Linked DNA regions of Anolis sagrei. The main gene of each other region encodes a partner of the protein of the gene in region 2 in a complex. Links are inferred from orthologs where the notes say so. Each region holds a gene or a part of one and is shown on either strand. Other genes may lie near its edges. The genes, in order: CRCP and POLR3F.

The links.
Region 1: POLR3F (region 2) and CRCP share a complex: the UniProt entries of both Homo sapiens proteins name them as parts of the RNA polymerase III complex. The link is inferred for Anolis sagrei from reciprocal best matches to the Homo sapiens genes POLR3F and CRCP.

Annotation. Positions count from the first base shown.
Region 1 is NC_090031.1:27,641,511-27,653,749, reverse strand, and holds the start of CRCP (DNA-directed RNA polymerase III subunit RPC9), read left to right. Parts: upstream 1-6,575; 5' UTR 6,576-6,668; coding exon 6,669-6,676; intron 6,677-6,682; exon of another isoform or gene 6,683-6,758; coding exon of another isoform or gene 6,759-6,760; intron 6,761-9,757; coding exon 9,758-9,794; intron 9,795-10,207; coding exon 10,208-10,306; intron 10,307-12,189; coding exon 12,190-12,239. Other genes in the region: ASL (argininosuccinate lyase), read right to left, coding at 501-512. UniProt on the Homo sapiens protein: DNA-dependent RNA polymerase catalyzes the transcription of DNA into RNA using the four ribonucleoside triphosphates as substrates.
Region 2 is NC_090024.1:133,270,584-133,282,762, reverse strand, and holds the start of POLR3F (DNA-directed RNA polymerase III subunit RPC6), read right to left. Parts: upstream 5,498-12,179; 5' UTR 5,418-5,497; coding exon 5,374-5,417; intron 4,243-5,373; coding exon 4,125-4,242; intron 1-4,124. Other genes in the region: DZANK1 (double zinc ribbon and ankyrin repeat-containing protein 1), read left to right, coding at 8,541-8,649. UniProt on the Homo sapiens protein: DNA-dependent RNA polymerase catalyzes the transcription of DNA into RNA using the four ribonucleoside triphosphates as substrates.

The DNA.
Region 1 (12,239 bases), on a different chromosome or scaffold from region 2:
ACAACCAGCATAGTGATCTTGTTTGCTGTGCACCAATCTTGTTGTGTATCTAATAATACAGACAACCATGAGGATAGACAGAAATAATAATAATACTAATACTAATAATACTAATATAGACACCCATGCAGATAGGTAGATATAATTGTTATTTTTACACTTGGAAGGAAATCATACTCAGCCATGAGTGATAGCCTATGAATAATAATAATAATAATAATAATAATAATAATAATAAATAGCCTTACAAGCTAGATCTTGGGCCCCTTTATATCCTTTTGGGGTGGTTCTCCCGCAAATATTCATAGATCTCTCTACCAAATATTGTTTTTCTAGGAACGATCAACATATTACGAAACCTAACCCATCGAAGATCATAGAAGCAACCTTAAGATAGACTGCACCTAACACTGGAGGCTCTACAATAAAACCCTCCCTATAGGAAATGGGACATGGGTATTTTTTTTGGAGGGAGGGAAAAGTCTGAACATTTCGCTCACCTCGGATGCCATGTCTGGCGACGGATGTTCTGTTCCTTTTCAATGGGAGAAAATAATAACCTGCAAAAATAGGGAGGGAAATATATATATAGAAAAGGGGTCTCATGAATTAGCCTTTCTTTTTAATTGCAAAATAATTATATATAATTAAATCTATATATGTATATATAGATTGCAATTGTTGTTTCCTCTCACCTGCTTCAATGCCAGCCGAAGCTCTGCTGCTGCTACTGCTGCTCCAAGGCTCAGGGGTCTCCCTTTTGAAGGGAATGCCCTGCACAAGCCACGCCCCCAAGAGGCGGGGCCAGGAGGAGGCATGAATGGGAGGCCACGCCCCTCCCTCCCTGGCCACGCCCCCTCCCTGGGCCATACGACTGGGTTCTAGCCTTCAAAATTGCACACACAGCCCAATTGTAGGGAAAGAATACATACGCTTTCCAAGCAAGAAAAGGTCTTCGTCATCATAATTCCATCATCATTATCATAAAATAGGAATGTCCTGGCCCCCGATTTTGGGTTATTTTGGAGAGATCTAGGAATCAATAAAGAGAATTATCCTCATTGGCCATCAATGTCATAAGATGGGGGGAAAACAGGAATGGTCCTGCGTTATATTGAAGAGATCTGGATAATACGAATAATAATAACAATTGCAATTATAATTATTGGGAGAGAAATTGAGCGTGTACAAAATTATTATTATTATTAATATTAATAATAATAATAATTACCTTACCTTGGTAGAGAAGTGGATAAATAATAATAAATAATAATAATCACTTGGTAAAGTAGAGCTGATTAAGAAATTAATAATAATAATAATAACATTAACTTGGTAGAGAAGTGGATAAATAAATAATAATAATAACTTGGTAAAGTAGAGCTGTGTAAGAAAATAATAATAATAATAATATTAACTTGATAGAGAAGTGGGTAAATAAATAAATAATAATAATAACTTGGTAAAGTAGAGCTGTGTAAGAAATTAATAATAATAATAATATTAACTTGGTAGAGAAATTGGTAAATAATAAATAAATAAATAACTTGGTAAAGTAAAGCTGTGTAAGAAATTAATAATAATAAGAAGAACATTAACTTGGTAGAGAAATTGGTAAATAACAATAATAATAATAATAATAATAATAATAAATAACTTGGTAAAGTAAAGCTATGTAAGAAAATAATAATAATAATAATTTGGTAAAGAAGAGGTGGGTAAATAATAATAATTAATAATAATCATAACTCGTTGGAGAGGAGGTATGTAAGAAAACAACAACAACAACAACAACTTGGTAGAGGAGGTGTGTAAATAATAATATTAATACTACTAATAATAATGTGGTAGAGAAGTGGTGGAATAATAATAATAATAATAATAATAATAATAATAACAACTTGGTAAAGAAGAGGTGTGTAAGATAATAATGTTAAATTGGTAGAAAAGAGGTCTGTAATATTTTTTTTTCGTGTCAGGAGCAACCTGAAAAATTGCAAGTCGCTTCTGGTGTGAGAGAATTGGCCATCTGCAAGGATGTTGCCCAGGGGACGCCCAGATGTTTTGATGTTTGACCATCCTTGTGGGAGGCTTCTCTCATGTCCTTGCACGGAGCTGGAGCTGACAGAGAGAGCTCATCTGCACTCTCCACAGATTCGAACCTGTGACCTATAGGTCTTCAGTCCAACCAGCATAAGGGTTTAACCCACTGCACCATCGGGGGCTCCTGTAATAATAATAATAATAATAATAATAATAATAATAAAAATAATGTTAAGTTGGTAGAGGTGTGTATGAAAATGATGATGATAATAATAGTAGTAACAATAAAGATAATAATTTGGTAGAGGAGAGATGGGTTAATAATAATAAATAATAATTTGCAAAGGATGATAGTAATTATTATTATTTGGTAGAGAAGTGTGATAATATAACAATAATAACAGCAATAATAACATAGAGAAGAGGTGGGTAAGAAAATAATAACAACTTAGTAGAGAAAAGGTTAATAATAATAATAATAATAATAATAATGTGGTAGAGAAGAGGTGGATAAGAAAATAATAATAATAATAATAATAATAATAATAATCATCATCATCATTATCATCCGGTAGAGAAGAGATGTGTAAGAAATTAATAATAATAATAATAATAATAATAATAATAACTTGGTAAAGAAGAGGTGTGAAAGAAAATAATAATAATGTGATAGAGAAGTGGGTAAATAATAATAATAATAGATGCTGATGATAGTAAGAAGAGGAAGAAGACAGCGAGGAGGAGGAAGAAGTGCAGTTTAGAAATCTGGAAGGGGAAAAGCAGGTTATTATTATTAATATTATAAATAATAATAATAATAATAATAATGGCAGCCCAGGAATCTGGAGGTCCACGTGATGGCCACCCATTTTCTCGTGTCTTCAGCAACCTCTTTCTATGGATAAGCCCTTTGTGTGATACGTGTTATTCTTACATTGACGTATAGAAAAACGGTTGCCCCGCTCAATGGGGGGAAAGCAACAAAAAGGGAGCCAATAAAGGAAAGGGTCCAGTCTGCATTTCCTGCGTGAATGGCAGGGTCAGCGCCCTCGTTTCCAAAGCAAGGATGACAAGGGAGCCAAAAAGACAAAGCCACCCATGAGGCCGCTGGGCATTGTGTTTCCTGAATGAGCCAGAAAGAAAGGAAGGAAGGGATGAAAAGAGAGGAAGAAAAAAGGGGCTTCTCTCCAGCCCTCCATCTATCTATCTATCCATCCATCCATCCGCTGAGTTGGCACACTTTCCCCAGGCATGAATGGGGGCCCCCCTGCATGCGTGTGCGCTTTCCAATTCTGTCCCTTGCACGCACGCACAACACGGAAAGACTTTGGAGCCATCAGCAAATACTCCTACTAATAAAAAGGTAAAGGTCAAGGTTTTCCCCTTGACATGAAGTCCAGCCATGTCCGACTCTCGGAGTTGGTGCTCATCTCCATTTCTAAGCCAAAGAGCCGGCATTGTCCATAGACACCTCCAAGGTCATGCGGCTGGCATGACTGCATGGAGCACTGTTACCTTCCTGCTGAAGAGGTACTCACATTTGCATGTTTTTAAACTGCTAGGTTAGCAGAAGCTGGGGCTCATAGCGGAGCTCACCCCAATCCCCGGATTTGAACCGCCATCCTTTTATTCAACAAGATCAGCAGCTCAGCGATTTAACCCGCTGCACCACTGGGGCTCCTATTAATACTACTACTAATAATAATGGCACTATCTTTCATGAGAAAGAGAGAGGTGGAAAAGGGCACAAAGGTGTGTAAGAAGGAAGGAAGGAGAGAGAGAGAAGGAAAGAAGGAATGAAAAGAAGGAAGGAAGGAAGGAAAGAAAGAAAGGAGGGAAGAAAGAAGAGAAGGAAGGAAAGAAGGAAGGAGAGAAGGAAGGAAAGAAGGAGGGAAGGAAGGAGAGAAGGAAGAAAGGAGAGAGAGAAGGAAGGAAAGAAAGAAGGAGAGAAGGAAGAAAGGAGGGAGAGAAGGAAGGAAAGAAAGAAGGAAAGACAAAAGGAGGGAAGGAAGGAATAAGGATGGAGAGAAGGAAGGAAGGAGAGAAAGAAGAAAAGAGGGAGACTAGGAAGGAAGGAAGGAAGGAAGGAAGGAAGGAAGGAGAGAAGAAAGGAAAGAAGGAGGGAAGGAAGGAGAGAAGGAAGAAAGAAGGGAGAGAAGGAAGGATGGAAAGAAAGAAAGACAGAAGGAAGGAAGGAAGGAAGGAAGGAAGGAAAAATTAAGGATGGAGAGAAGGAAGGAAGGAGAGAAAGAAGAAAGAAGGGAGAGAAGGAAGGAAGGAAAAAAGGAGGGAGGGAAGGAAGGAAGGAAGGAAGAAGGAAGGAAGGAGTGAAGGAAAGAAAAAAGAAGGAAGGAAGAAGGAAGGAAGGAAGGAAGAAAAGAAGAAAGGAGAGGAAGGAAGAAAGGAGGGAGAGAAGGAAGGAAGGAAGGAAGGAAGGAAGGAAGGAAGGAAGGAAGGAAGGAAGGAAGGAGAGGCTCCTTTCCCTAAAGCCGGAAATACACATGATATGATATGGTATAATAAGATACGATAAAGGAGCCCCCAGTGGCACAGTGAGTTAAACCGCTGAGCTGTTGAACTTGCTGAGTGAAAGGTTGGTGGTTCGAATCCAGAGAGTGGAGTGAGGTCCTGCTGTTAGCCCAGCTTCTGCCAACCTAGCAGTTCGAAAACATACAAATGTGAGTAGATCAATAGTACTGCTTCAGCGGGAAGGTAAGGGTGCTCCATGTAGTTATGTCAGCCACTTGGCCTTGGAGGTGTCTACGGATAACTCTGGCTCTTCGGCTTGGAAATGGAGATGAGTACCAGCCTCCAAAGTTGGACACAACTGGACTTAATGTCAGGGGAAAACCTTTACCTTGTACTAAGATATGATATACCTATGAATTGGACCTCCGTCACAGATGCTGAAAGGCCTGGACCATCTAAAAGGGAAGAATAGCAGGCCTCCTCCTCCTCCATGGGCGCTCAAAAGCCTTAATAATATAAAAGGAAATAAGAGGTGTTTGTTAATGCCCTTAGACCACAGTTCATTTGCATACAAAACAAGTCAACACAACACAACACAATTGGCATCTAGATCTGGCCTAGTAACCTTCAATGGCATGAAAGGTGGGAGAGATGCCAATGTTTTGCACTGATTCGCTGCCAAAAAGGGCTGCTGCCAAGTCCGACCTCTTCCATGGACGCTAAAAGGAAATCATAGGAGAGTTCTTAAATGTTCTTAAAGGCCATAGAAGTCAATGCAAGGCAGCAGGCTCTCCCTTCATTCAAAGTATCTATAGGGTTAAGTAGATGGAGTAATAATAATAATAATAATAGTCTCTTAATTAACTGCCCCCCATGGGAATTGGTAGATATGCAATAATAATAATAATAATAATAATAATAATAATAATCTTTCAATCAACTGGCCCCCATGGGAATTGGTAGATATGACACAATAATAATAATAATAATAATAATAATAATAATAATAATAGTCTTTCAATTAACTGGCCCCCATGGAAACTGGTAGATATGCCATGATAATAATAATAATAATAATAATACTGTTTGGATCGTCGATGTTGCAATTCCAGGCGATAGCAGGATTGAAGAGAAAAAAAATGAGGATTTAAAGATCGATCTGCAAAGACTCTGGCCGAAGCCAGTCAAGGTGGTCCCAGTGGTGATTGGCACACTGGGTGCAGTGCCTCAAGACCTTGGCCTGCACTTAAACACAATCCGCGCTGACAAAATTATCATCTGCCAGCTGCAGAAGGCCTTTGAGGGGAATTTACCTTGATTTGAGGGAGTTGTAGTTCACCTATATCCAGGGAGCACTGTGAACCCAATGATGGATCTGGACCAAACTTGGCATGCATACCTGATATGCCCAAATTTGAATATTGGTGAGTTTTGAGGGGAATTCGTCTGTGTACTTTGGAGTTATAGATCCTGGGATTTATAGTTCACCTGCAATCAAGGAGTACTCTGAACTCCACCAATGACGGAATTTGACCATACTTGGCAAACAAAGCCCCCATGACCAGCAAAAAAAAACACTGGAGGCTTTGGAGGGATATTCACCTTGATTTGAGGGAGTTGTAGTTCACCTACATCCAGAGAGCACTAATGGATCTGGGCCAAACTTGGCACACAGACCTGATAGGCCGAAATTTAATGGCTGGAGGGGTTTGGGGGGAACTGACCTTCCTTTCTGCGGATTGGTAGATGCTATAAGAAGAAGAAGAATATATAATAATAATAATAGATTGTGAAGTGGGGCTTCTGATAGAAGTATCACAGCCCTAGACTCCAGTGGCTATTCTCCCGCCAAAAGTCTTGCAAGTGAAAGGCATTCTGGGAGTTGTAGTCCTTGAAGAAAGCGCCCTCCCTTCAGCCGGCCGTCTTCCCTCGCAAGGGCCACGCCTTCCCGCCTTCATCTCCCGGCGTCCTTAGCGCCTCGCTTTCTGCCTCATGCTTGAAGCCCCGCCCCCTTTCCTACCCTGCTTGTCTCCGCCCCCTTTCTCCTCTGTCTCGAAGCTCCACCCCTTTCCCAGTCTCCGCCCCTTTCCTCTCAGTCTCCTCCTCTTCCGGCCTGAAGTCCCGCCTTTTCCCTAATTCTCCTCCTGGGAAGCGAGATGGAAGTGTAAGTTGGAGGGAGGGAAGGAGGGGAAATGGCAGGAAAGCCAGGCCCAGGAGGCGAACCCGAGGGAATCTGAATTATTAATATGTATGTTTTGTTGCTTATAGAATTATTCATATTAAGCTATAGAGAGGAAATAGGATATATTAAGCCATAGAGAGGAGATGATGCTTCTACTATATATACATTTATATGTTCTATTTATATATGTATAACAGATTAAAATACAGAAATGTATATATTAATATATAATACATTATATATACTATACACATGTTAATATATATAGAGAGGTATATTACTTATATGCTTATATAGAATTCATATATATATATATATCACATTATATTAATATAATACTAAAATAATGTATGCAATATTATTTATATATGTATAACATTAAAATAAAGTAATGTATATATATATATAATACATAATATATACTACACACATATAAATGTATATAGAGAGGTATATTACTTAAATGCTTATATAGAATTCATGTATATACATATCACATTATATTAATATAATACTAAATATATGCAATATATGCTTTAATATATATTATATTAATCTGTATTAGAGAGGGATATTGCTTATATATGCATACATATCACATAATATATGCAATTATGTGATATCTATATATATAAGACATACATTATTTTAATATTAATATATAAAAATAATGTATCATATATATATATATACTTTAATGTATAGAGGGGATATTGATTAGATGCATATATATACACACACACACACACACACATACACATCACTTAATATATATTTATAATATATTAATATACATATATTAAAATAATGTATGTATAATATATATTGTTTAATGTACAGAGAGGGCTATTAATTAGATGCTTATATACATATATATTAATATAACAAAATAAAGTAATGTATGTATAATATATGTACTAACATTTATACATACATGTCACATATATATTAAAATTATATATATATATATATATATACACACATACATACATATACTGTATAGAGAGGGAGGGATAATGCTTATATGTCATATTATATATATACTATATTAATATATTAAAATGTATGTATTATATATATATATATACACTTTAATATATAGAGAGGGATATTGATGAGATGTTTACATACATATATGTACATATATATACACATACATATCACTTAATATATTAATATATAAGATAAAGCAATGTATGTATAATATATATATATATATATAAATTTTATATTATTAATTGTAATATCAATAATATGTAGGTTTTGTTGGTTCTTTTGCCGACCAAAAAGCCAACCACACACACACAGACATATATATCTATCTCCCCATAGGATTCCTCTTCATTCGAGCTTCCCAAGACTCCCAAAGAATTAAATATACAGTATAACATATATGGAGCAAAGCCACTGCTACGGCTGACGTGTCTTTGGGGTCAGCACAAAAAACGAAAACTCCCTTCTCAGCATATTTCCGGAAGGGGAGCCCCTCTTTTTTTTTGAATCCCCCCGATTTGTTTTTTTTAAAAAACAAAACACCAAAACAATGCGCCCAACCTGTGGAAGTTTGTGGAAGAGGCGGCGTGGAACTTGCCCCGAAAGTGATGAGCGCAGCGGGTTCGATTCAGAACTAAATCAAATACATTGTGCTTTTAGGTACGTGCGGGGCCCCCCGAGAAGCGCTTTTTGTGGCCGCCGCACTGTTGTTGTTTCTGCGCTCTTTGCTGGCTCAGCAGAAAAAAGGCCTTTGTCTCTGGGATGTATGGATGGATGGAGGGGGCCCTTCCGCACGGCCCTTCGGTGTTTTTGTTAATAGATAGATAGATAGATAGATAGATAGATAGATATGAACAAGATTCAGTTATGAACAAGATTCAGTCGGTTTGTTATTAAGGTGATCCATCATCTGTTAACTATCTATCTGTATCAATCCTCTCTCAACTATTTACCTTCTGTTAACTATCTATCTATCACCTGTCCGTCAATCATCTGCCAACTATATGTATCATCTGGTTTATTAATCATCTGCCAATTATTTATCTGTCTATCTTTCTATTATCTATCATCTGTCCATCAATCATCTACCAATTATCTATCTATGTATCTATCATCTGCCAACTATTTATCTATCATCTATCTATCATATGTCTATCAATCACCTGTCAACTATCTATCTATTAGTGTTTGTCTTCTCTCAACTCATTTTTCTATCTGTATTAATCATCTGTCAATCATCGAGCTATACAGATAAATCATCTCATATATCATCTATATCAATAATCTCTCAACTATCTTATCATCTGTCAACTATCATCTATTTATCAATGATTTGCCAACTATTATCTGTCTGTTTATCAATCATCTGTCAACAGTTTATCAACTATCAATTATCTGTCATCTATCTATCTATCTATCTGTTATCTATCAATCATCTATCGATTATCTGTCATCTATCTTTCATCTGCCTATCAATCTCCTGTCAACTATATTTCTGTTATGTTTCTATAACCTATCAATTATCTGTCAACTATCTATCTATCCATCTATTTATTATCTATCAATCATCTGTCAACAATCTGTCCTCTATCTTTCATCTGTCTATCAATCTCCTGTCAACGATCTTTCTGTTATGTTTCTATCATCTATCGATCATCTGTCAACTATCTTATCTTTCTATCTATAATTCTATTATCTTTAATCATCTGTCAACTATCTGTCATCTATCTTTCATCTGTCAGCTATCTTTGTTATGTTTCTATCTATTATCTATCAATCATCTGTCAACTATCTGTCAACTATCAATTATTTGCCAACTATCTATCATCTATCAATCATTTGTCTATCAATCACTTGTCAACTGTCTATCATCTATCTATCTTTTCATTTGTCTGGATTTTCCCAGCGTTCCTCTGGACACACATTATCTGACTTCAGCAAAATCTGGCTCGAAATGAGGAAGCTGCCCTTTAAGAAAATATCTCCTTTGGGCTTTGAAAACAGTCTGTCTTCTTGAGCCAGGATCGCCTGCATAAAGGCCTAATCCTGCCTGTTTGTTTTGTTGTGCAGGAAAGACGGAAATGCAGCCCTTCTGAGCAACTATGAGGTAAAACCATTTGTGGCATAATTAATTGGACTTCTGATGCCTTGTGTTTCATCTCTGCTCTGTGTATTTTCATATGCATTTTATCAAAGTACATTTCTATATGTGCATTTATAAGTTTTTACTATGTTTATGTGTTTTGATTATGCCGTAACCTGCCTTGAGCCAGGTTGCCCAAAGGCCCTCTCATAGAATGGCCATTTTGGAGCGTTTCGGATTCCCGGATAAGGGAGCTTCACAGTTGAAATGGGACCAAAGCGCTCTAAAAGTGCCATGCAGAACGGTCCCAGCAGAGGGTGGGAAACTCAACGGCGCCTCTCTTTTCCTGGCTTGGTTTACATAGCAATCGCGGATGGGAATGTTGTTGGAAAGTGCTTTGCGGCCCCCGTGAAAGAGCAAATCGGGTTTCCTTTCAGGTCTACCAGCTGCTGATGGACCTGAAGCAGCAGCGGCGAGAGATGGGGAAGAGCAAAGCGAGCGCCGGGCAGCAGAACCTGAACACCATCATGTACGAAGTGAGTCCTTTCGGGGGGTTCCTGGTATCCGTGGACATAGAAAACCCTCTGGTTTTGTTGCCTCTCTCTCTCACGCTATGTTTTCTTCCCTTGGAAAAATCCCCATTCTGACATGTGCGTATTCTTCCCGTTGATGACAGCATGCTTGTGCCGATGTGTTCGTTGTGAGCATCGTTGGGCACTTTTCTGTTGTCTCAGAAACTCCCTGCCATCCGAGTAAATGTGGGCGTCCTTGAACCAAGTCTTGGGAGGTTTAGAAAGTCTGCCTTCAGGAAAAATAATGAACCCAGCGAAAGCCCTTCCCATTTTTGGACATCAATACGCTTAAAAGTTTCAACTTCTTCAGGCCCCCTTTTCCTTCCTTCCTGCTTCATTCATATATATATTTCTTCCTTACTTACTTTATTTCTTCATTTCTTTTTCCCTTCTCTACCTTCCTTCCCTTTCTTTCATTGTCTCCAACATACGTATTACTCCTTTCCCCCCTTCCTTCCTTCCTTCCTTCCTTCCTTCCCTCCCTCCCTCCCTCCCTCCCTCCCTCCCTCCCTCCCTCCCTCCCTCCCTCCCTTTTTCATTGTCTCCAATGTATGTATTTTTTCCTTCCTCACTCGTTCTTCTTTCCTCCCTTTCTTTTCCCTTCCTTCCTTCCTCTCTCTCTCTTCTCTTTCTTCCATTGTCTGCAATGTATGTATTACTTCCTTCCTCACTCATTCTTCTTTCCTCCTTTTCTCCTTCCTCCCTTTCTTTCATTGTCTCCAATGTATGTGTTGCTTCCTTCCTCACTCTTCCTTCCTCCTTTTCACTTTCTTTTCCCTTCCTTCCTTTTCTTCCATTGTCTCCAATGTATATATTGCTTCCTTCCTCACTCATTTTTACTTCCTCCTTTTCTTTTCTCTTCCTTTCTTTGTCTGTCCGTCCTTCCTTCCCTTCCTTCCATTGTCTTCAAGCGACTTAGTTTCTCAAATCACTCCTGACATGAAAAAATTGCCTTCAATATATGTATTGCCTCATTCCTTCCTCACTCATTCTTACTTCCTCTTTTTCTTTTCCCTTTCTTTTCTCTCCCCCCTCATTTTCCTTCTTCCCCTTCTTACATTGTCTCCAATGTATTTTTTCCTTTTCTTTTCCCTTTCATTTCCAGTCTTTCCTTCCTTTCTTCCATTGTCTGCAATGTTTGTATTGCTTCCTTCCTCACTCATTTTTACTTCCTCTTTTTTCCCTTTTTTCCCTCCCTCCCTTTCCTTCTTCTCCTTCTTACATTGTCTCCAATGTATGTATTCTTTTTTCCTTTTCCTTTTCATTTCCAGTATTTTCTTCCTTTCTTCCATTGTCTGCAATGTTTGTAGTGATTTCTTCCTCACTCATTCTTACTTAATCTTTTTCTTTTCCCCTTCTTTTTCCTCCCTCCCTTTCCTTCTTCCCCTTCTTACATTGCCTCCAATTGCCTCCTTCCTTGTCTTTTCCCTTTCATTTCTAGTCTTTCCTTCCTTTCTTCCATTGTCTGCAATGTTTGCATTGCTTTGTTCCTCACTCATTTTTCCTTCCTTTTTCTTTTCCCCTTCTTTTCTCTCCCTCCCTTTCCTTCTTCCCCTTCTTACATTGTCTCCAATGTATGTATTCTTTTTTCCTTTTCTTTTCCCTTTCATTTCCATTTTTCCTTCCTTTCTTCCATTGTCTCCAATAATTGTATTGCTTCCTTCTTTCTTTCCTTCTTTTCTTTTCCCTTCTTTCCTCCCTCCCTTCCTTCCTGTTGTGGGAATTCTTTCCACCTCCCAATAGAACAACAAATGCTGCAGCTTCTCTCTCGCTGAATCAATTTGCAGTTCATTTGGCTTGAGAGGCAGGAATGGGGCTGAGTTTTGCCTTTCTCCCCATCCTTTCAGACCCTGAAATGCATTTCCAAGACGCCCTGCAAGTTCCAGAGCCCACAAGT
Region 2 (12,179 bases):
CATTTTACACAAATGTAAGGTACCTCTTTTAGTATAAAGAAGGTCATTGTGTATAATGGGACTTGAGCTGCCACTAATTTTAGTGTCCATAGGAGGCTACTGGCATCAAAGCCCTAGGACCCACTATAAACAATCATACACAAAACTCAAATGCATGACTGATCTACATTTTTCAGAAGTCAATATCCCATCTTTCCTTCAAAATGATGATCCGAAAGTATAATATATAATCTGTATATATAATAAAGAAGAGTGTTTGTTTGTATAGGACAGAGGGAGGACAGAGGAAGGAAAGAGGGCGGACAGAGGGCGGACAGAGGGAGGGCGGTGTATGTGCCAGCGTTCTGATTGGCTGCCGCTGTGGTGCTATTTGCATATGGTCTCTGATTGGGCAGCTTCAATAGGAGCCCCTGGTGGAGAAGAGGGTTCATGGCAGAAACAGGGCATAACAGAAGGAAATTTGTATATGGGCTCTGATTGGCCAGCCTCAAACCCAACATTCCGAGATGAGAAAGAGAGGAAAGGAAAGGCCGGGGGCTGGGTCAGAACACTCCCAATACAGACCGAAATAGGCACACAGAGCCCCCATCACCCACTCTACATCCTACTGCAGTTTGGAGGAGGATGAACCATGGATGATGGGACTTGCAGTACCACCACTCACATTCTGAGACCGCTGTTAACCTTATCCAATTACTGATCAGGACCACACTTCGCACAGAGACCTCTCATGACCCACTTTACGTCCTGGTGTGGTTTGGCCGGGGATGGACCGTGGATTATGGGACTTGCAGTACCATTGCTCAATTCTTCAGACCACTGAACCCTCATCCAATTACCAATAAATACCAAACTTGGCACACTGAGTCTCCATGACGCACTCTACATCCAGGTGCAGTTTGAAGGAGGATGCACCATGGACGATGGGACTTGCAATACCTGCACTCCCTTCCTAAGACCATTACAACTGCCAACGATGATGGATCAGGAACACAATTTACACAGAGACCCAGCATGACCCACTCTACATCCTGGTGCAGATTGGAAGAATTTAACAATGGATGATGGGACTTGCAGTCACTTCACTCACTTCCTGAGACCACTGAGACCCTCGCCAATGACTCATCAAGACTAAACTTGGCACATGGAGCTTCAATGACCCACTCTACATCCTGGAGCAGTTTGGAGGACGACAGACCATGGATGATGGGACTTCAAGTACCTCCACTACCCAAGACTGCTGCAAAACTCATCTAATGACCAATCAAGACCAAAGTTGGCACACAGAGCCCCCATGACCCACTCTACATCCTGCTGCAGTTTTGGAGAAGGGTGGACCATGGATGATGGAACTTCCAGTACCTTCACTCACATTCTGAGACCTCTGCAAACCTCATCCAATGACTGATCAAGACCAAACTTGGCACATAGACCTCTCATGACCCACGTTACGTCCTGGTGTTGTTTGGAAAACTTTGGAGATGGATGATGGGACTTGCAGTACCTTTGCTCACTTCCTGAGACCACTGAGACCCTCGCCAATGACTAATCAAGACTACACTTGGCACATGGAGATCCAATGACCCACTCTACATCCTGGTGCAGTTTGGAGGAGGACAGACCATGGATGATGGGACTTCAAGTACCTCCACTCCCTTCCGAAGATGGCTGCAACCCTCTTCTAATTACCAATGAAGACCACACTTGGCACACAGAGCCCTCATGATCCACTCTACATCCTGCTGCAGTTTGAAAGGGGATGGACTTTGGATGATGGGACTTGCAGTACCTTCACTCACTTACTGACACCACTGCCACCCTCATCTAATGACTGATAAAGACCAAACTTGGCACACAGAGCCCTCATGAACCACTCTATATCCTGCTGCTGTTTGTAGGAGGATGGCCCATGGATGATGGGACTTCACGTACCTTCACTCACTTCCTGAAAATAATGCAGCCGTTATCCAAAGACCAATAAAGACCAAACTTGGCATACAGAACCACCATTACCCACTTTCTCTAATAACCCAGGCAACGCCGGGTCCCCAAGCTAGTATATAATAAAGAAGAGTGTTTGTATCGGACAGAGGAATTGTGGAGGGCGGAGGGCGGACGGCGGACGGTGTATGTGCCAGCGTTCTGATTGGCCAGCCAGAAAGTTCCAACATTCCGATTGGCTGGGCAGCGGTGCTATTTGCATATGGTCTCTGATTGGCCAGCTTCAAGAGGAGCCCCTGGTGGAGAAAAGAGTTCATGACAGAAACGGAGTCATGAGAAGGAAATTTGCATATGGTCTCTGATTGGCCAGCCTCAATTCCAACATTCCGAGATGAGAAAGAGAGGAAAGGAAAGGCCGGTGGCTGGGTCAGAACACTCCCAATACAGACCGAAATAGGCACACAGAGCCCCCATCACCCACTCTACATCCTACTGCAGTTTGGAGGACTATGAACCATGGATGATGGGACTTGCAGTACCACCACTCACATTCTGAGACCGCTGTTAACCTTATCCAATGACTGATCAGGACCAAATTTCACAAAGAGACCTCTCATGACCCACTTTACGTCCTGGTGTGGTTTGGCCGAGATGGACCGTGGATTATGGGACTTGCAGTACCACTGCTCAATTCTTCAGACCACTGCAACCCTCATCCAATTACCGATAAATACCAAACTTGGCACACTGAGTCTCCATGACGCACTCTACATCCAGGTGCAGTTTGAGGGAGGATGCACCATGGATGATGGAACTTGCATTACCTGCACTCCCTTCCTAAGACCATTACAACTGCCAACGATGATGGATCAGCACCACAATTTACACAGAGAGCCTGCATAACTCACTCTACATCCTGGTGCGGTTTGGAAGAATTTGACAATGGATGATGGGACTTGCAGTCACTTCACTCACTTCCTGAGACCACTGAGACCCTCGCCAATGACTCATCAAGACTAAACTTGGCACATGGAGCTTCAATGACCCACTCTACATCCTGGAGCAGTTTGGAGGATGACAGACCATGGATGATGGGACTTCAAGTACCTCCACTATCCAAGACTACTGCAAAACTCATCTAATGACCAATCAAGACCAAAGTTGGCACACAGAGCCCCCATGACCCACTCTACATCCTGCTGCAGTTTTGGAGAAGGGTGGACCATGGATGATGGAACTTCCAGTATCTTCACTCACATTCTGAGACCTCTGCAAACCTCATCCAATGACGGATCAACACCAAACTTGGCACATGGACCTTTCATGACCCACTTTACGTCCTGGTGTTATTTGGAAAACTTTGGAGATGGATGATGGGACTTGCAGTACTGTTGCTCACCTCCTGAGACCACTGAGACCCTCGCCAATGACTAATCAAGACTAAACTTGCCACATGGAGCTCCAATGACCCACTCTACATCCTGGTGCAGTTTGGAGGAGGACAGACCATGGATGATGGGACTTCAAGTACCTCCACTCCCTTCCAAAGATTGCTGCAACCCCCTTCTAATGACCAATCAAGACCACACTTGGCACACAGAGCCCCCATGATCCACTCTACATCCTGCTGCAATTTGAAAGGGGATGGACTTTGGATGATGGGACTTGCAATACCTTCACTCACTTACTGACACCACTGCCACCCTCATCTAATGACTGATAAAGTCCAAACTTGGCACACAAAGCCCCCATGACCCACTCTATATCCTGCTGCTGTTTGTAGGAGGATGGCCCATGGATGATGGGACTTCAAGTACCTTCACTCACTTCCTGAAAATAATGCTGCCATTATCCAAAGACCAATAAAGACCAAACTTGGCATACAGAACCGCCATTACCCACTTTCTCTAATAACCCGGGCAACGCCGGGTCCCCAAGCTAGTATAATATAAAAACAATCCTAAACAAAAACCAAAGATTTAGGTGTGCTAGAATTAATGGTAATGTGGCATGCTCCTTTTGATAAAGAGACAGATAAAGAGACAGAAGATAGAACCAACAGCTGTTCTATCAGTTTGCAGACCCAGAAGAACTGCTACTTTAAAAGGAAGTATAATAAACCACTATATTTTATCCAGCATTTTTGAAGACATACTTTCATGCAAACTTAATAGGCTTTTTACCATAGAGAGCAGTCTGTTAATGGCCATGGCTCGTTGCTGAGCTTCCATGTGAGGCATATCATTCTGAATCACCTGGTCTGTGATGCCATGAGGAAACTGATGGCAAAGCTCAATGATCCTAGACAAAGTAGGAATAGCAAAAAAATAAAAATAAAAAGGGATCACCACACACAAAACTCAAAAACGCATTAGCCAATGTATTTTATTTAAAACACAGAAACCCCACCTTTTATTAAAAGTGGTGATAAACAGTAAGCACACACAAATACAACAAAAACTAATATAAAGAACAATGATCAAGAAAAGAGTCCCGTTGCTCTTACCCCTGTCATACATTGACTGTCTCTATTGGTTAATTCTGTACAAAAGAAAGCAGTTCTTGCCTTAGGAGTTCACACCTCCAGTATCCCTCACCGTAAAGGCTCTACCAGACAGGCCCTATTTCCCAGGATCTGATCCCAGGTTTTCTGCTATAACTGGATTATATGAGTCAACACTGTATCAGATAATTTGGGATAAACAGAAAACCTGGGATCCGATCCTGAGATATAGGGCCTGCTTGAAAAGGACCTACTTTTCTTATCACCCCAAGTTTTAGCATACTGCCCAAGACTACATAATAGTACTTATTTTGAACATTGGTGTTAATTGTGGAAAAGCTAAGACTGTAACATATATAACTGCAGCAATATTTGCTGAGGAAGTGGTCAAGGTTACTTGAAGTACCGCATCTCTTTCTATGAACCTGATTAAACAGCTACAATCCTCTGGATTATATGACTGTCTGGAAAGGCCCATAGTATTATATGTGCTGCATAAATGTATACAGCAGTAGTTCTCAACCTGTGGGTACCCAGGTTTTTTGACCTACAACTCCAAGAAATCCCAGCCACATCCCAGTTTACCAGCTGTTAGGATTTCTGGGAGTTGAAGGCCAAAGCATCTGGGAACCCACAGGTTGAGAACCACTGGCATACAGGCACCTTAACATTTCCACACAAACACTCTTACAGTAGTCACTATACACTTATTATCACCACTACATTCCAATTCTTTAGCCTTGTTTCCCTTTATTCTAGGACCCTTCCATGCAGTCATATAACCCAGAATATCAAGGCAGAAAATCCCACAATATCTGCTTTGAACTGGATTATCTGAGTCCACACTGTCATATATTCCAGTTCAACGCAGGTAATGTGGGATTTTAGTCAGCTACATGGAAGGGCCCTCAACACTTTGTCCTGCCCACCTGTTTTCGATTTCCAAGGGCTCTGGGGCTTTCAACTCCGCCATCACTCAAAGCTCTCCTTCCTCCGACCATGCAGACTGTGGGCGATTCGGCGTCAGGCAAGCGGCGCGCTCAGATGACGTCAACAGGCTGCGCCCAGAGAAAGCTGCGGTTGCCACGGAGACCAAGCCAGTCGCAGACTCTGCTTTGCCTCCCAGCCAGGCGGTGAGTTCTGAGAATCAGAGACTGACGTGGAAAGTGGAGGGGAAAAGGGAGGGGCGTGGATTTTGCAGGATAAAGGGATTTTTCTTAATGGAACTGTATGCTGAGCCTTCTTCCCAAGAAGGGGGTGATGCCCTTGTTGTCCTCACAGCAAAGCAATGAGAGGCAGGTTAGACCAAGGCCTGCTGCTCAGGGGCAGAGTCAAAGTGGGTTAGAACTCGTCAATGGTAATACAGGCAGTCTCTAAGGCCCCTTCCACACAACTCGAAAATCCCACATTATCTGCTTTGAACTGCAATATAAGGCAGTGTGGACTCCGATAACCCAGTTCAAAGCAGATGTTGTGGATTATCTGCCTTAATATTTGGGTTATATGGCTGTGTGGAAGGACCCTAAGTTATGAACAATTTTTATTTATTTATTTATTTGTGGCATTTCATCATCATCATCATTTAATAACTTATTAATCGCTCTCCATCCGAGAATGCTCTAGGCGATTTACAGCTAAATTATAAAAGATAAAATACATACATACAAAAATTAAAAATTAACATTTCTATGCCGCCTTTCTCATAGAAGGGAGGCGACTCAAGGCGGCTTACAATTGGCACAATTCAATGCCACGATGGTCATAAATATATATATATACACACACATACATATACATATACATATAATATTATATATTGTGTGTGGCTAACATGGCTCAGAAATAGCAGCTGAGAGAAGGAAACAAGGCAACAAACTACAGGCATTCTGTATGACTCAAAAATGCCTGAACAACTCAAAAGTTAAGGTCTACGCTACAGTTATTCGCCCAGGGCCCTTCCACACAACCCTATATTCCAGAATATCTACTTTGACTGGGTTATCTAAGCACACTCAGATAATGTGGGATTTTCTGCTTTATTATTCTGGGATAGAGGGCTGTGTGGAAGGGCCCACAGTCATATAACCCAGAATATCACAGCAGATCATCCCACCATATTTCCTTTGAACTAGGTTATCTGAGGACTCTTTCACACAGCCTTATAACCCAGAATATCAAAGTAGATCACCCACAATATCTGCTTTGAACTGGGTTATCTGAGGACCATTTCACACAGCCTTATAACACAGAATATCCAGGCAGATCATCCACAATATCTGCTTTGAACAGAGAGCTCTTCCTCACAGCCATATAACCCAGAATATCAAGACAGATCATACCACAATATCTGCTTTGAACTGGGTTATCTGAGGGCCATTTCACACAGCCTTATAACACAGAATATCCAGACAGATCATCCACAATATCTGCTTTGAACAGGGTTATATGAGGGCCCTTCCACACAGCCATATAACCTAGAATATCAAGGCAGATCATCTCACAATATCTGTTTCCAAACTGTGTTGGGACACATTCATGCATCACCTTCAGAATTTAGGTTTGTCATGTGAACAGAAGAGAAAACCTCTGGGTCAATATAAAATAAGCAATAAATCATATATTTCTTATATATAAATTACAAGTTTCATGAGGTACGTTGTATTTCCATACATTTTTGGTACTGTTCCATTATCCAGGTGGAAGCTATTAGAGGCTGCTAGAGAGAGAAGGATACTTCATTTTATGGGAAGGAGTTGAAGGACGAAAATAATTTCCCCTGTTTTTGGAGATTATTTCCCCTCTCTGCTTCCCATATCATAAAGGAGGGTTGGGCAGAATAACAGGAAAAGGGGAGGGATGACTTTACTCCTTCAACCCACTGTCCACCCCCCATATAATCAAGTATCCTCTCTCTCGTGGCCCCTAATGGTTTCTGCCCTGATAATGGAACAATGCCCATTTTTGTTATGACATGTATGTTTCTACGTCTCTTACAAGGAGTTGATTGCTAGTAAAACTGAATTACTATGTTATGAAATGATACCTGTCTAAAAAGATGTGTCACCAGCATTAAATCTTTGGAAAGCTCTTCTTTAAGGTGTTTCGGCTGCTTGCTTGGCTTCCCAAAGCTCCTTGGAGTTGAAAAAACTCATGCCATGCCATAGCTCCCAAAATAAAATGCACAAAGAAGCTGTATGACACCAGTAGCTTTGAAGAAGTGGAGGAGAACCCATGGATAAAAACCGTATAATTGTTAGGCCACAATTTAGGGGCAAGTGACTTGAAAATATAGGAGTTCAACTTTAGGTTTTCCTGAATAGTAATGATATGGGGCCCTTCCACACAGCCATATAACCCAGAATATCAAGGCAGAAAAATCCCACAATATCTGCTTTGAACTGGGTTATCTGAGTCCACACTGCCATATATTCCAGTTCAAAGCAGAAAATGTGAGATTTTATTCAGCTGTGTGAAAGGGGCCCTACATTCCTTTCAATCTGGTTTTAAGACAGCCTTTTGGAACTTAAACTCCTTCAGAAAACTTTTATTTAATTAGGTCAGTCCCAAAGGATACAAAGTTTTCCAGAATGTTTCTCTGGGCTAACATGGTTCAGAAATAGCAGCAGAGTGAGGCCCCTTCCACACAGCTGAATAAAATCCCACATTTTCTGCTTTGAATTGGGGTATCTGGCAGTGTGGACTCAGATATTCCAGCTCAAAGCAGATATTGTGGGTTATTCTGCCTCGATATTCTAGGTTATATGGCTGTGTGGAAGGGCCCAGAAAGAACCAACAGTTCAAAATTCTAGCTGTGTGTAATATACAGTGTGTGCTTGTAGAAAAACTAATGACATTATACTATGTTATTATTCTACTTTAACTACCCTGGGAACATTGTATGGGGTCTTGGAATTTGCAATTTGAGGAGGCAAATTTGAACTGCATTATATGGTCAGTATAGAAGGGCCCTTATTCCCAGAGGGGTAATGTAGATAAATCCTTCAGTTGGATTTATTGACTTAAATTTTCCTTGCTGTACTATGTTTATTTATGGGTTTTTTTTCTTTTGGTTTTTTAAAAACAATTGTAGGAAAAAATGACTGCTGGCTCCATCCTAGTGCCTCAAGTTATACCACTTCGTATCTCGACATCAGGAAATGCCAAACATGAAATAGATACAAATACACTTGTAGAGTTTAAATCAGGTACATGCATGCTATAAATCTCTTCACATATTTGATAAATATACAACTTAATATTCATTTTGTTAATTCTTGTTTTTATTTTGCTTGTCATTTTTGTCTTTAAAATATCTTTCAACCTAACAGGAAAATTATTGGAAGCAATAAACAATTTGTTTAAAAAACAGCTTTCTCATATGTCTTCTTCCATTTCCTTTACATATCTCTGCAATGGATTATAATTATGTTTTTCTTTCTCTGTTTAATTTTTTCTGCTGCCATGTACATTCTTATGTATTAGGCTTTAGCATTGTTGTATACGTTACACTTGCATTTAATTATGTGATGGGCTTATAGACAGTATACTTATTTTTTTAGCTTCAATCTGTCCTGTGAGGAATCCATGAGCAAATGACAATGCTGCATGAGATTGTCAATGACACCCAACTTCCTCATCCAGAGATCTTTCCATCAGTATCAAGGGAACTTATTTCTCTCTACTATTTAGGCTCTGGGTTCAATAGCTTTTTTTTCTTTTCACCCAAAGCTTCTAGTATATTTTTACCTTTACTATAAATCTTCTTTTCTTTTCCGCTTGTGAGGTCCAATATAATTAAAATGAATACACTTCGATAACTGTTGTTGTTGTTCTTTAAATTGCATGGGAACTTTCTAAACTACTATCAAATCACATTTCATTTACATTGTTTTTTTTAAAAAAAATCATAAATCACAACTTTCCACTATCACCATTGTGACAAAACATAAATCTCTTTAATTTTTCCAAGGGATCATCCAATCCATAAGCTACTACAAAACCATAGGTTCCTGCTCTCTCTCTCTCTCTCTCTGTGTGTGTGTATGTATGTATGTATGTATGTATGTATATATATATATATATATATATATATTCAAAGCTTGGCAGAGTTTATTTACAAATAACATGTTACTTGTAATCAATTTATTTTTTGTAAAAACTAAAACATACAATTTTCCATGGTTTGGAGTGCAAAACAGTTTACAACGTAATCTGAAAATAAGAGAATTGTGATAAAAATGCAACAAATTATTGACATATTAAATAAATAAAATGATTAAAACAAGTTCAATTAAAACAGTTTAAACTACATAAACCTATACTGTACATAGATGTGTTTAGGTAAAAATTGCAATGTTTAAAAGTCTAGCACATCCCAAACCGTGGATTGTAACAAACTGACACCTCTATGGGTCTCCTGAAATTATGACTTAGTTACAAGACACAAAATTGGACACAGGAATATTGCATGATTCAGATGCTGGCTTATGCTTCCATCTTATGTTCTATTATAGGTGATATACTTTTTTGTTTTTTGATTAACTGGCCTTTTATGATGAGACACACAGTTTGCTGTGAATAATTGGTTTATATCACTGTTTGTGTATGTGACCTGATCCACTAAGATTTTTTAATGAATTTTAATGCTGCCAGCGTTCTGTGCTCACTATATTGGATGAGGAAAACAAGTGTCTATGAAAGCAGCATAGATCACATAATACTGGGACAGAACATCATTTAGATTTTCATCCATGGTAGCCTGTCAACAATAGACAGCAGCTTCAGCTATAGGGTTTTTTTAGAACTGGGAATGGATTAGTGTAGCATACAGTCAAAATAGAAAGAAGAAACTAGCCAACTATATCCTGTCCACATTTATTTATTTATTTACTATATTTATACCCTGCCCTTCTCACCCCGAAGGGGTCTCAGAGTGGCTTACAATAAACATATTATATTATAAAACAGTTAAAACATATAGATACAGTAAACAGATTAAAAACATACAAAGTATTAAGTCATGATTTCCATACTCCTTGGGTTTCCCATAGACATTGTTCAGACTGTTAGGTTGAGGTCGGATTCCGTGTTACCCTACTTCCTGAATGCCTGTGTACAGGAGGGGTGAGGTCAGCCTAATGTCATTGGGGAGGGAGTTCCACAGCCGAAGAGCCACCACTGAGAAGATCCTGTCTCTCATCTCCACCAGTTGCACTTGCGAAGGGGGTGGGACCTAAAGAAGGGCTCTCCAGCAGATCTTAAAGCTCTAGTTGTCTCATAAAGGGAGATACATTCAGACAGGTAAGTTGGACCAGAACCGTTTAGGGCTTTATAGGCCAAAGCCAATACTTTAAATTGGGCCCAATAGCAAACTGGCAGCCAGTGGAGCTGACATAACAGGGGGGTTATATGCTCCCTGTACACCACTCCAGTATGCCGCTAATTGGACTACTTGGAGCTTCTGGACAGTCTCCAAAGGCAGCCCCATGTAGAGTGTGTTGCAGTAGTCTACTCGAGATGTAACAAGAGCATAGAGCACTGTCGCCAAGTCTGGCTTCTCAAGGTATGGGTGCAACCGGCGCACAAGTTTTAATTGTGCAAATGTTCTCCTGGCCACTGCTGAAACCTGGGGTTCCAGGCTCAGTGATGAATCTAGGAGCCTCCCAAGCTGTAAACCTTTGTCTTCAGGGGGAGTGTAACCCCGTCCAACATAGGCTGTAACCCTATACCCTGTTCGGCCTTTCGACTGACTAGGAGTACCTCCATCCTGACTGGATTCAATTTCAATTTGTTTGCCCTTATCCAGACTGTTCCTTATCCAAACTCACATGGACATGAGTTTTCATTCCTAAAAAGTCTATAAGGCTTACATACCTCCACTGTAAAAGAAAAACTAAAAAGGAATCTCTATCGTTCATAGCTTGCCTTTCCCTTTATCTCTGGCTTACCCATTGTTCTCCATTTATAGCTTTTCAATCAGTTAGTCTGCCATTTAATTAGCAGACTAAATTGCAGGAGGAGCCAAGGGTCATTCAATCAGACCAAAAAACAAACAAACCATGGTCATTCAAATAAATTGTTCTGAGCTAAGAAAGATGGCCCTTTTCTCCAGACTGGAATGGAACTTAATGGTAGCTACTATTCCTTCAATAAATTCCAAGAAATCTTGTAGAAGTTAAGAGTTTAGTTTATCTGTAACAAAATAATTACATACTTGAAACCTCTAAATCATTAGTGATGTCATTATTTATTTATTTATTTATTTATTTATTTACGGCGCTTATATGCCGCCCTTCTCACCCCGAAGGGGACTCAGAGCGGCTTACAATATATATTTTCATACAATATATTATATTATTAGCAAAGTACAATATCAGTATATATTACTATATTGCACTATACCATTATATTGTAATATTATTAGTAATATTACATGTAATTAAATATATAATTAAAATTATAATATTGAATTATTATTACTAGTATTATAGTGTATTACATTATAATATTATAAATATTATACGTATATACAATATACTATATTATATTATTAGTAAAGACAAGATGGCAGTGTCTTCTGCTCCCCTCTGTCTTCTCTCTGGCCAGAGCAGTCGTTGGTGCCAGAAGGGGGAGGGGCCTCTATTATCTCCTAATAGACCAAGAATCTACCCCCCCCCCAAACTTACTATCTTCCCCCTAAATACCCTTAAATGTATTCTTAGGAGGTAGAATTAAA